2 linked regions of the Macaca fascicularis genome follow. The protein of the gene in region 1 interacts with the protein of each later gene in a pairwise test. Links are inferred from orthologs where the notes say so. Each region holds a gene or a part of one and is shown on either strand. Other genes may lie near its edges. The genes, in order: NUDT21 and RPLP1.

Region 1 (6,268 bases):
TCTGTGTACAAGTGCAAGGATTTGGTGGTATTGATGTTTTCGTAGGGCAGTTTAGGTGTTTCTCTTGTTTTATATTAAAATAAATGGACGTTCTCTCTCCGTCCGCCAACCAAAGTGATTTGAAGTTGAAAAGATGGTTAACATTGTTTTATTTTGTAAAATGTGTTGGCTTGGAAATTTAGATGATGGAAATGCTGGGTTTATAAAATCTGGAATTAGTCGATAGTTGTGTGTATAAAAGTCCTCAGGAGTGGCGGCTCAAGACTGTAATCCCAGCACCTTGGGAGGCCGAGGTGGGAGGATCACTTGAGGCCGGGAGTTGTAGACAAGTCTGGGCAACATAGGCTGTCTCTACAAAAATGTTTTTAAAAATTAAGAAAAAAATCCATCAAATGGTAAAGGCAAATGTTATCCTTTTTAAAAGTATGAAAGCACAGCTTCTGGGTTACTTTCAGTGGTGATTAGAGCTAAAACCCACAGTCTTTTCTTGTTTTGTCTTGATTACTGAATTAATTTGCACCAAGCCATTATGTAGAATTAACTTGGCAAAATAGTTAGCTTTCAGCAAGATTTTAATCTTCGCTCTATTAAAATTATGGGTTGATTTACAGTACATTTCTTCTCCTATATAAATATAAATATTCAGAAATAATCATTGTGTTGTGAACTTAAGTTCACCTGAGTTAATATTAAGTTGAAAACAAATGCGCTCTCCCCAGTATATTTTCTTTTTTTTTTTTTTTTTTTTTTTTTTTTTTTGAGACGGAGTCTCGCTCTGTCACCCAGGCTGGAGTGCAGTGGCCGGATCTCAGCTCACTGCAAGCTCCGCCTCCCGGGTTTACGCCATTCTCCGGCCTCAGCCTCCTGAGTAGCTGGGACTACAGGCGCCCGCCACCTCGCCCGGCTAGTTTTTTGTATTTTTTAGTAGAGACGGGGTTTCACCGGGTTAGCCAAGATGGTCTCGATCTCCTGACCTCGTGATCCGCCCGTCTCGGCCTCCCAAAGTGCTGGGATTACAGGCTTGAGCCACCGCACCCGGCCTCCCCAGTATATTTTCTTTCAGGAAATATTGCATGAATGCCTACTTTGTGCCAGGCACTGTGCACAATACTGGATATACAGTGGTGAGGAAGTAAGGTGTAGCCCCTGCTTTATGAAGCTCACAGTATGATGAGAACAATATGTATGTCTGGGCTGGCACTCTGATTTCACAGGTGAAAATTCTGACATTTCATCTTGACATTACTGATATATTGGAGCTGGCTCTTGCAACAGAGATGTGTAATGGCTATCCTTAATTCTTTCTAACTCAGGTTGTGAGAATTAAATGTTAATATATGTAAAGCGTTTGAAAAAATTGCCTGGCACATCGTGCTGTGTAGCATATCTGCCGCTGCTATGGATGATGGTGTTAGATTTAGCCTTGGGTCTACTGGGGATGTTCTTTAAATCTTTAAAGCATCCTTGAAATGGTATATTTTAATTCTTTTATAGCTTTTTCATATGCCTAGAACTTGGCTTCTGAAATTAATTTTTTTTTTTTTTTTTTTTTTTTGAGACGGAGTCTAGCTCTGTTGCCCAGGCTGGAGTGCAGTGGCCGGATCTCAGCTCACTGCAAGCCCCGCCTCCCGGGTTCACGCCATTCTCCTGCCTCAGCCTCCCGAGTAGCTGGGAGTACAGGCGCCCGCCACCTCGCCCGGCTAATTTTTTTTTTTTGTATTTTAGTAGAGACGGGGTTTCACCGTGTTAGCCAGGATGGTCTCGATCTCCTGAACTCGTGATCCGCCCGTCTTGGCCTCCCAAAGTGCTGGGATTACAGGCTTGAGCCACTGCGCCCGGCCTTAAAGTAATTTTTAAAGTTTTGGCAACCTTGATTTTTTTCCCCTTTCAAGAATGGCTGAGTGTAGTAGATGCAATAATGTTGACTATTAATGTCAAGGGCTTTTGGTAGAATAGATACTATAGGTGGGCAAATGTGGCGTAAATTCTTACTCAAAGGCTTCTTGCTGTAAGGCTTTAATTAAGGGCGTACGACATATAAGTATGGAATTTTTAAGTATCTTTAAAGAAAAATTTGATCCTTATTAGGCAAGATGAAAACTGTCTTTAACAGTTTGAGCCATATTTTAAATTCTTGGTAAAGGGGTGGGTAGAAGATTCAGATGAGGAGAAGGAAACAATAAGGAGACTGAATAGAATAAATGCCCAAGGCTAGTAAATAGGGTTAGAGGACAGAAAGAGAAAGTAGAAGAGTTGCTGTGAAAAGGAAAGGCTGTGGTGCAAGAAAAATCTGAGGATAGTTGACTGAGAGAAATAGAAAATAACTGGAGGGATGTTGATGAAAAGTGGTGGCTTAGTTTTAGAAAAAAGAGATTAGCCATTAGCACCCATAATTAAAACTTTCTGATTAGATTAGTAGTCAGAGGAATGCAGGGGGACATTAATTATTAGCCAAATTGGTCTTGTTGGAATAGCAGCCATGGTCTAAAACCAGAGGATTACTAATGTTCAGATAACCATTTCTCTAAGCATTTAAGGATAGTGTTATCTACACTTGAAAGTTAAAGTATGGAGGAGTAGCTTGATCTCATGGAAGCTCTGGCTTTTTTTTTTTTTTTTTTTTGAGACGGAGTCTCACGCTGTTGCCCAGGCTGGAGTGCAGTGGCGCGATCTCGGCTCACTGCAAGCTCCGCCTCCTGGGTTCACGCCATTCTCCTGCCTCAGCCTCCTGAGTAGCTAGGACTACAGGCGCCCGCCACCGCGCCCGGCTAATTTTTTGTATTTTTAGTAGAGACGGGGTTTCACTGTGGTCTCGATCTCCTGACCTTGTGATCCGCCCGCCTCGGCCTCCCAAAGTGCTGGGATTACAGGCTTGAGCCACCGCCCAGGCTGGAGTGCAGTGGCGGGATCTCAGCTCACTGCAAGCTCCGCCTCCCGGGTTCACGCCATTCTCCTGTCTCAGCCTCCCAAGTAGCTGGGACTACAGGCGCCCGCCACTTCGCCCGGCTAGTTTTCTGTATTTTTTTTTTTTAGTAGAGACGGGGTTTCACCGTGTTAGCCAGGATGGTCTCGATCTCCTGACCTCGTGATCCGCCCGTCTCGGCCTCCCAAAGTGCTGGGATTACAGGCTTGAGCCACCGCGCCCGGCCGGAAGCTCTGGCTTTAAGAGTCCAGAGAACAAGATTCCAATCTCTACTGTCTCATTAACTTTAGTTATGTAACTGTACAAATCCTGTGTCTCTGAGTACAACATATGCACTTTTTTTTTGTACTGTGGTTTCTTTATGCTAATGTCTGTCATGGTAAATTATATTCTTCAGTTCTCATGTTAGATGTTTGTCTTTGGATCACAGGTACCCTCTTACCAATTATACTTTTGGTACAAAAGAGCCCCTCTATGAGAAGGACAGCTCTGTGGCAGCCAGATTTCAGCGCATGAGGGAAGAATTTGATAAAATTGGAATGAGGAGGACTGTAGAAGGGGTTCTGATTGTACATGAGCACCGGCTACCCCATGTGTTACTGCTACAGCTGGGAACAACTTTCTTCAAACTGTAAGTAGTGTTGGAAATTAACAGCAAGACAGTTTTTAGTAGGATTGCTGTTTATGCAGCTGTGGACTACAATTTTAGCCCTCGGTCATTTATTTCAACAAACACTGCTGTTAATGATGTCTTTAAAAAGAGAAAATCACGAGTAATTTTTCTCCATTGCGGTGCTCGTTTATTTTCCTAACTAGTAATCTGCGTGTTTCTATATGTTGTCGATGTTAGTGATTGAGCTTGGTAGAAACCCTGTGGAATAGTTGAGTTCAAGATCAATGTCTAGATGTCATTGTAGCATCACCAAGAACAATTGGTATTTCTTTCTTGGTATGATTTGCATTTCCTATTCTTAAGATGACTTAGGTTTTTGTGGATAACAGTTTATTTTTTTGTCATTTAAGCTCCTGCATCTCTCAAACATTTGATCCACAACTATTTGACTAGATTATACCAAAAAGAAAGGTCTCCAATACTTAGATGGCGCTCTTGAAAAAGTGTCCCATTGTTTAGGCCTAAAGAATATGATCCATTCCTCTCTGGGCATTTCTAGACTCCATTATCATCAGATAGCTTCCAGAGACGAGATTGGGATGGACTGGTGGTTAGCAATTTTGTTTATGTTTGTGCTATGTTATGTATTCTGTTGGTTTAAAACTAGGGTTTATGTGATGGGTACATATGGACATAAAGTTGGAAAAAATGAACACTGTATACTCCAAAGGTGGGGAGCGGGAGGGAGAGGCGAGAGTTGAAATACTTCCTGTTAGATGTTATGTTCACTGTTTTGGTGATTGGTTCACTAGAAGCCTAAACCTTAGCATTACACAATATACCTATGTAATAAACTTGTACATGTACCCCTTGAATCGACAATAAAATAAAAATAAATATATACAAAGAGGAAAAAAACCTAGGGTTTGTATACTGTTAGTCTGGGGAATTGACATGAATTCAAGCATATTCTCCCCCTTCACTTTGATACTTGTTTTGATTGCCTTATTACACTGAAATATGTTACTTAGTGACTTGATAGACATAACATTTATTGTGTTCTTTGTTATCTCCAAATTGCATTAAGTTGAAAGCTGAAATTCTTAACTTTTATACAGACCTGGTGGTGAACTTAACCCAGGAGAAGATGAAGTTGAAGGACTAAAACGCTTAATGACAGAGGTATTTTTCTGTTTAACCTAACTTTGCATACCATCAACTTAATAGTTAATTTGGCTTTTAATGTCTTGTAAAAAGGATGTTTATTTTGGAATATTGAGTTTTCAATAAATACAACTTAAACCCCAGAATGTTAGTACAATGTTGATTTTTTTTACAAGTTGAACTTACACTTACTTCAATTTTTAAAATGTTAAACTGTGTCACAGCAATGATAAAAACTGACATTTAAGTATTACTGTGCTAGACACTGTTCTAAGTGCTTTACATGTGCTAATTCCTTTAATCACCACCACAACTCTAGGAAGCAGATATTAATAAGTTTAAATTACTTCTTGTTATATAGCTAGTGTGTTGTAGAGCTAGAGGTTTGAATGCAGGTAGTTTTGTTCAAGAGTAGGCCTCTATGGAATTTTGAAAAGAGAAAGACGCCTGTGTTTTCACTTTTTTCACATATTTTTTAGACTTTGCCCAAATTATTCTACTTTTAAAAAATCATTGTAATGCCTGCATGTAAAGACTTGGGGCCAAATGCATAGATACTGAGGATTTTGAGACTGTAAGTTGTTTTCAATGTTTGTTTTCTTCTTTAACATGCAGTTGCCGCCTGCCCCCTTTACAAAACTCATACATTCTCTGTGCAAAAAGCTTGGCAAACACAGAAAAGCAAAGGAGAAACAAAACTAAAGTCACCTGTAATTCTCCTACTTTTGACCTATTGGTTTGTCTTTCTAGTATTTCTAAAAATGTATTATAACTCTTAAACATTTACTGTGCTTGGACTTCCATTTATGTAATGTCTGGTACAAAGATGTAAGTGCAGTAGGATTGAGGGAGTGCAAAATGAGAGACTCACAAAAGCAAAATTTTTGGAAACTGGAAAACAGATGGGCAAATTATAACTAACTTGGCAGAAACCTTAGTCCAACAGACAGGCAGGCAGAATCCAACACTGCAGAGTACCAGAATGACTGAGGAACTGAAGGTGCTAGGTACTTATGAAAGTGGGGGCATGCATGGGCTGAAAACTGGACTGGTTCAAAGTATATATGAAGTATATTTATACAGGTTGAGTATTCCCTGTCTGAGAGCTTGGGACCAGAAGTGTTTAGCTACTATTTGATAGCACAATAGGGTGATTATAGTCAGTAATCACTTAATTGTAAATTTTAAAATAACTAAAAGAGTATAATTGGATTGTTTGTAACACAAAGGATAAATGCTTGAGGGGGTGGATACCCTGTTCTCCATGATGTGAATATTATGCATTGCATGCCTGTATCAAAACATCTTGTGTACCCCATACATATATACATCTACTATATATGCAAAAAAATTTAAAAAAAAGTGATTAGGATTTGGGATTTTTTTTCAGGTTTTGGAATATTTGCATTATGCTTACCAGTTAAGCATCCCATATACAAAACTTGAAATGCTGCAATGAACATTTCCTTTTTTTTTTTTTTTTTCTTGAGACGACGTCTCTCTCTTGTCACCCAGGCTAGAGTGCAATGGTGTAATCTCGGCTCACTGTAACATCCACCTCCCGGGTT
Region 2 (7,055 bases), on another chromosome or scaffold:
GAGATGGGGCCTTGCTCTGTGGCCTTGTCTAGTCTCAAACTCCTGACCTCATGCAATCCTCCCAACCTGGCCTCCCAAAGTGCTAGGATTACAGGCATGAGTCACTACCCAGCCTGCTTTTTAAATTATTATTTAACAGAGACAGCCTGGGCATGGTGGCTCACACCTGTAATCCCAGCACTACAGGATGGCTTGAGCTCAGTTCGAGACCAGCCTGAGCAACATGCTGAAATCCCATCCCTACAATTTAAAAATTAGCCATGCATGGCGGCACATACCTGTAGTCCCACCTACAGGGGAGGCTGAGGTGGGAGGATTGCCTGAGCCTGGGAGGCAGAGGTTGCAGTGAGCTGTGATGGCGCCACTGTGCTCCAGCCTGGGCAATGGAATGAGACCCTAGCTCAAAAAAAAAAAAAAAAAAAAAAAACCACAAAGTAATAGGGACTGGGTCTCACTATGTTGCCCCAGGCTGGTCTTGAACTCCTGGGCTCAAGCAATCCTCCCGCCTTGGCCTCCCCAAAGTACTTGAATTGCAGGCATGAGCCACCATGCCCTGTCCCAACCCACTTGAAAAAAAAAAAAAAAAAATTTAGCCAGACGCAGTGGTTCACGCCTGTAATCCCAGCACTTTGGGAAGCCAAGATGGGCGAATCACCTGAGGTTAGGAGTTTGAGACCAGCCTGGCCAACATGGTGAAACCCCATTTCTATTAAAAATACAAAAAATTAGCCAGGCGTGGTGGCACGCGACTGTAATCCAAGCTACTCTGGAGGCTGTGGCAGGAGAATAGCTTGAACCTGGGAGGCAGAGGTTGCAGTGAGCCGAGATCGCGCCATTGCACTCCAGCCTGGGGAACGAGCAAAACTCCGTCTCAGGAAAAAAAAAATTTTAAATGGCTTATTGCATAGTATTTTCAAAATATTAATGGGAAATTTTTACTATGATAGGAGAATATGGGGCAGTGGAATTTGTCTGAAGTAACTGTTGAATGCACTAAGTCCTTCAACAACACAAAAGGAAATGCATGAGTACTGACATTTTGCTTAGCTACTTCTCTTTAATAGCTGTGGTTAGTGCTTACTGTTTGATACCCTGTAAAAGTGCGTATACGTGGAGAAAACGATTATTTCCTCAGTGACCACAAAGTGCCACTTGCCAACCAGATCAGTTTTTTTTTGTTTGTTTGAGACGGAGTTTTGCTCTTGTTGCCCAAGCTGGAATGCAATGGCACGATCTCGGCTCACTGCAACCTCCGCCTCTCGGGTTCAAGCGATTCTCCTGCCTCAGCTTCCCTAGCAGCTGGTATTACAGGCACCCGCCACCACGCCCAGCTATTTTTTTGTTTTTTAAGTAGAGACGAGGTTTCACTATGTTGGCCAGGCTGGTCTCGAACTCCTGACCTCAGGCGATCCACCCGCCTCAGCCTCCCAAACTGCTGGAATTGCAGGCATGAGCCATCGCGCCCGGCAGATCAGTTTTTTAAGTACACTGCTGGAGGTACACAGTATTTTGGACTGACTCATTGTAGCTTTGGAAATGTTTGGATTTTTAAATAGCTTTAAGCTTTCTTGACCAAAATTCCACTATAATGGCTTCTTAGATTTGGATGAAAACTCAGTAGCTTTATTTTTAAAAAGTTTGATAGCTTTATAAAAACTTTTTTAAAAAAATTCGGGATATGAAACTATTTGTTTGTAGTTAAGATTGACCCAAATAGGACTCTAGATTGGTGGATTCCAACAGAAATGTTTCATCAGAGATGATTATTAAATAATGGGATGGACTAAATGAAGGTTCCCGAAAAAAAAAAAATCTTGAACTAACTTTCCAGTAAACTAAGCAAATTCCACGAGCAATGTAAAGGTGACCATTTTTGAAGGTAGGAATTTAAATTGGGTTCAGATAACAAATAACAGGTTGTATACAATTTACCCATAATCCCCCTTCCCCGAAGCACTAGGCGGTGAAGTTAGGCTTCTGGATTCCAACTCCACGCTCCACCGCGCGGAACTATGCAACCTTGGGTTAGTTACCAGGTCTAAGGCTTCTAGATTCCAACTCCACGCTCCACCGCGCGGTAACTACACTATCTTGGGCTAGTTATCGGCTCTAAGACTTAATTTTGCCATCTGCAAGATGGAGATAACATCCAACTCCTGCTGTGTGAGGATTACGTGAATCCTTGTAGAATGTGGCTCAGTTACTGGGATATAGTAAGCGCTCCACGGCTACTGCTATCATAATGCCGTTAGTTTGCTTGTCCTCCTACATCTACCTACATCTATCTATCTCACCCAAGGCCCAGCGCTAAGCAGCGACGTCCATGGTGGGACGCAGCCTTTACCCTCAGGGTCAGCGCCGGCTGGGAAGGCCGCGACCTAACTGGGAGATTACGAACAGTGTCACCACGGCCACAGCGCAGCTCCTGCCAAGTCAAGCAGCTCATGGAACCAACGGCGGCGAAGTCCGAATACCTACGCAACCCTATCCTAAAAGTGTTTTTAACCGTCTCAAGTCCTATAATTTAAGAAAATAAAGTGAGACCGTAACTGTTGGCGCTGAGAAACTTTCTCAACAGGAAGAACGAAGCAGGCGCAGCGCGCAGGCGTCTTCAATCGGTCCTGGGTCCGCCTCTTCCGCCCGGTGCGGGCGCCGATTGGTCCGCGTGGTCACATAAGAGACTGCGCATAGGCGCAAGAACCTCTTTCCTCAGCTGTCGCGAAGGTGCTCGGTCCTTCCGAGAAAGCTAAGGCCGCGTTGGAGTGAGGGCCTCACTTCATCCGGCGACTAGCACCGCGTCCGGCAGCGCCAGCCCCACACTTGCCCGCGCTATGGCCTCCGTCTCCGAGCTCGCCTGCATCTACTCGGCCCTCATTCTGCATGACGATGAGGTGACCGTCACGGTGAGTGCGGGCGCGGGTCGGCGGCCTGGCTGCCTGTGGGCGGCGACTCCCGCCTCTCCATGCGGTTCCGGGCTCCAGGCCGTTGGGCCCAGCACTTCCGGCCGGGGCCAGGCCGCGAAGACAGGCGGCATGGGGCGGGCGCTCCTGGGGGCTGGGGCCTCTCTCGCAGAGCGGGACCTGGGCCCCCGGGACCACGTGCGGGCCCGGGGGGCGTGGAGTGCGCTTGAGGCTGGGCTCTCCGGCTCCAAGATCCTTCGTGTAGAAAAGCTTTTCCGCAGCGCTTGGGCACCCTGACCCGCGCCTCGTCTCTCTCAGGGACACTTACTTGGAACTCTTTTGGTATAATTGCCTTGAATTCCCCGGGTCGTGGAGGATAGCGCCCCAGCTCGGCTCCACCTTCCAGGTCCTAACTTAAAAATAGCCGCGTGACTCAGGCAAGTCCCAGCCCGTGAAACAGCAGTGATGGGCTCGCCTCATTGCAGGGCGCCTGGCACACATCTCTTTTGCTTGTGATAGAATATTTGAGCTGGTTAAACATGTCCTGTACACTTTTTATTGAGTGACTTGCCTTTGACTTGCAGCGTTTTGGAGATACTACATACGCTATGTTTTGATGGATTGACGTTTTTATTTGTTGTAGGAGGATAAGATCAATGCCCTCATTAAAGCAGCCGGTGTAAATGTTGAACCTTTTTGGCCTGGCTTGTTTGCAAAGGTAAGGTGATGGTGGCAAAGTGATGTGGTAAAGCCTGCTGATTTACGAGGGCAGGTGTACATGCTGAAGTACCTCCAGCAGTGCCATAAGGCCCCACATGCCGCTGGATCTCCTAGGTGTATTTGGTTGCATTTATATCTCTAGGAGCTAAGAAGATTTCAGTTTCTCAAGTCTTATGTTTCCTTATCAGACTCTGGTTTCCCCTTTTGCTCTGAAACCATGGTCAAAAAAAAAAAAAATCTGAATCAGGTCATTGATTCCCAAAAAGGATCACCCGGGAGATAGGTACTACCCATGTTAAAGTTGCAAGCAAATTCTTGCATTAAACCTGTGGTTTAATGGACATTTGGGTTTAGCGGACTTTATTGACACAGTAGGTACTATGTGTTGGGATATAAAAGACTAATAAAGACGAGATTCCTGGTCATGGAGCTTGCACTGGCTATTTTCCATTGTACAGGTTACTTAATCTCTGGCAAGTTAAGCTGATAGCATCTAACTCCGGGGTTGTGTCCTCTAAAGAGTTTTGAAAGATTGTAAACATTGTATCTATGTCATCTTTAAGTCCTATGTTTAGAAGACTGAAAATTTGAGTTCACTGTTCAGAGGAGACATGGAATTGTGCAAAGAATATTCATTTGAGTGTTTCAGGAAGTTTGGATTATTTTTTTGCCAACATGTTATTTGTAAAAGGAGGGGAAATCAGCTACCTCAGGAGGTTCTTAACATATAGGAAAGTAATTATCAGATTCAAAGCTGAACGATTGAAAGCTGAACAGTAGTGTGTTGCCCTGTCTAACCTAAGTTTTTGCTGTTAGCAAAGAAAAGCCAGTGTCTAGGGTATTGATTCCAGGGCCTTCCACTAATAACAAAATCCCAGGATGTTCCATCTCTTATATAAATGTATTTGCATATAACCTATGCACATCCTCCTGTATACTTTGGAAGTCTACATGTTTGGTATGCATGCGTTTCCACTGTTGAAACCATGGATGTGGAACCCACTGTATATAGTGTTAGGGGTTGATCACTGTAACCTGGAAGGGGGGATACTTTTCGTTTTTGGTGCGTGAGTGCTGTGTAACAAGGACAGAACCGGGCATTTACCTATGCATGCACATGTATTGCAGGCCCTGGCCAATGTCAACATTGGGAGCCTCATCTGCAATGTAGGGGCTGGTGGACCTGCTCCAGCAGCTGGTGCTGCACCAGCAGGAGGTCCTGCCCCCTCCACTGCTGCTGCTCCAGGTAGGAAACATGGAGTTTCTAGTATTGGGAGGAGTGTAGAGATTTAAAAAATATATATAGTATTATAGGTAAAATTGCCATTAATTTTCCACAAGCAGATGATGTATGGAAATCCTAACACCTGACTGTTTTTTTTCTAGCTGAGGAGAAGAAAGTGGAAGCAAAGAAAGAAGAATCGGAGGAATCTGATGATGACATGGGCTTTGGTCTTTTTGACTAAATCTCTTTTATAACGTGTTCAATAAAAAGCTGAACTTTACTGCTGTTGGTCTTGCCCATAGCTTGGGAATGCGCTCTGCAAAAATGGTATCAGTTTTGTAATGTTGGCTTTCAACCTATTCTGCCATGACAGGCTGGATTTTCCCTGCCACCGTTGCCAGATGTGAGATTATACACAATCCTGATGCTAACAAGAAGGCACCTCATGGTACAGTGTTAAAAACTGCACTGGGGTGTCAGGAGGAAAGATCAGAGCAGATGCTTGCTTTGTCCAGGTTACCTGTATAAACTTGAGGATTATAAGGTGTGTCCCCTCCACTGGGGGCAGAGGGTAATACAGACCAGCATTAGAAAGCCTCCTGGGTAATTACCCTATACAACCCTGCCTAATAATGAACTTTGACCTATGCTGAATTGACTGCTACATCCCAAGGTTGTAAAGAAACTAAGACCTAGCTGTGTAATGTCTCACCAAATGCTTGGGTAACACTGAAGGAATGCAGAAAGTTTACTTCATAGTTTATTAAGGTCCCCAGTTACACAAAGTGGATAAAACAAGATTCAAACCTGGGTTCCAAAAGCTAAGAGCTTTTTTTGTTTGCCAATTAATAATACCATGAGGCCGGGCGCGGTGGCTCAAGCCTGTAATCCCAGCACTTTGGGAGGCCGAGACGGGCGGATCACAAGGTCAGGAGATCGAGACCATCCTGGCTAACACAGTGAAACCCCACGTCTCTACTAAAAAATACAAAAAACTAGCCGGGCACTCCAGCCTGGGTGACAGAGCGAGACTCCGTCTCAAAAAAAAAAAAAAAAAAAATACCATGAATGGAAATTTCGACTTTTCAGGCTTGGATTATATAATAAACCATGGGTATTGTGTATTCAGAGCAGCTAATGACATGCCAGGCACATGAATGAGTCTTATCCTTATCTGCATTAGCATTTAATAGATGAAGACATTCAGTGATGAAAAGCATGACTTCTAGCCGGGGCTGTCATGTCAATGTGAAAAAGACCATTTGTATAAGTTACTGCAACTACTTGGGGAAAATGGCAGTTCTACTTCAAGAGAAACTACATGTGGACATGAGGATACATGCCTGGGAATGTTCAAAGCAACACTTTGAGCAAAGACATTAAGTATATGCATCTGATAAGAGAAATATAAAAGATGGGATGGTGAACAATTTAGGATCTTGAGTAAGGTGCAGTTAACAATGGGTAGGAGTATGTAGGTGTCAGTATTAAAGAGTTTTAAGTTTTTTGAGAGGGGTTCTAGGCTGGAATGCATTGGTGCAGTCATGGCTTACTGCAGCTTCAAACTCCCAGGCTCAAATCAATCATCCCACTTCAGCCACCCCCAGGTGGCTGGGACTACAGGCATGCCACCATGCCTGGCTAATTTTTTGTAGACAAACCTCAACCTCCTGGTGTCAAGCGATCTGCACGCCTTGACCTCCCAAAGTGCTGGGATTGCAAGTATGAGCCATCATGCCTGGCTAGTTTTGTGTTTTTAATATATGGCTTGAGCATCCCTTACCCAAAAAACAAAACATCAACATGACACTCAAAGGAAATGTTCATTGGAACGTTTTGGATTTTCGGGTTAGGAATGCCCAACCTGTATATTAAAACCATAGGCCAGGCATGGTGGTTCATGCCTGTGATTCCTGCACTTTGGGAGGCTGACGCAGGAGGATCACTTAAATCCATGCCCGCCTCTAGAAGAAATTTTTTAAAAAATCAGTGCAGCGCGGTGGTATTCGCCTGTGGCTTCAGTAAGCCATGTTTGTACCATTATACTCGAGACTGGGTGACAGGGCGGGACCCTGTCTAAAATATCTAAGATCATAAAGTATATATAAAAACCTTAGGTATATGCAAATATTCCAAAGTCTGAAAAAAAATTAGAAATCTGAAACAAATGGTCCCAAGCATTTTGGATAAGGGATGCTCAGCCTGTACTA

Evidence for each region.
Region 2: the proteins of NUDT21 (region 1) and RPLP1 interact in a two-hybrid assay, tested with the Homo sapiens proteins (2 studies listed by BioGRID and IntAct). The link is inferred for Macaca fascicularis from reciprocal best matches to the Homo sapiens genes NUDT21 and RPLP1.

Annotation. Positions count from the first base shown.
Region 1 is NC_088394.1:52,508,124-52,514,391, reverse strand, and holds part of NUDT21 (cleavage and polyadenylation specificity factor subunit 5), read left to right. Parts: intron 1-3,353; coding exon 3,354-3,554; intron 3,555-4,654; coding exon 4,655-4,718; intron 4,719-6,268. UniProt on the Homo sapiens protein: Component of the cleavage factor Im (CFIm) complex that functions as an activator of the pre-mRNA 3'-end cleavage and polyadenylation processing required for the maturation of pre-mRNA into functional mRNAs.
Region 2 is NC_088381.1:46,247,082-46,254,136, forward strand, and holds RPLP1 (large ribosomal subunit protein P1), read left to right. Parts: upstream 1-2,701; 5' UTR 2,702-2,831; coding exon 2,832-2,903; intron 2,904-3,543; coding exon 3,544-3,618; intron 3,619-4,748; coding exon 4,749-4,866; intron 4,867-5,006; coding exon 5,007-5,086; 3' UTR 5,087-5,125; downstream 5,126-7,055. UniProt on the Homo sapiens protein: Plays an important role in the elongation step of protein synthesis.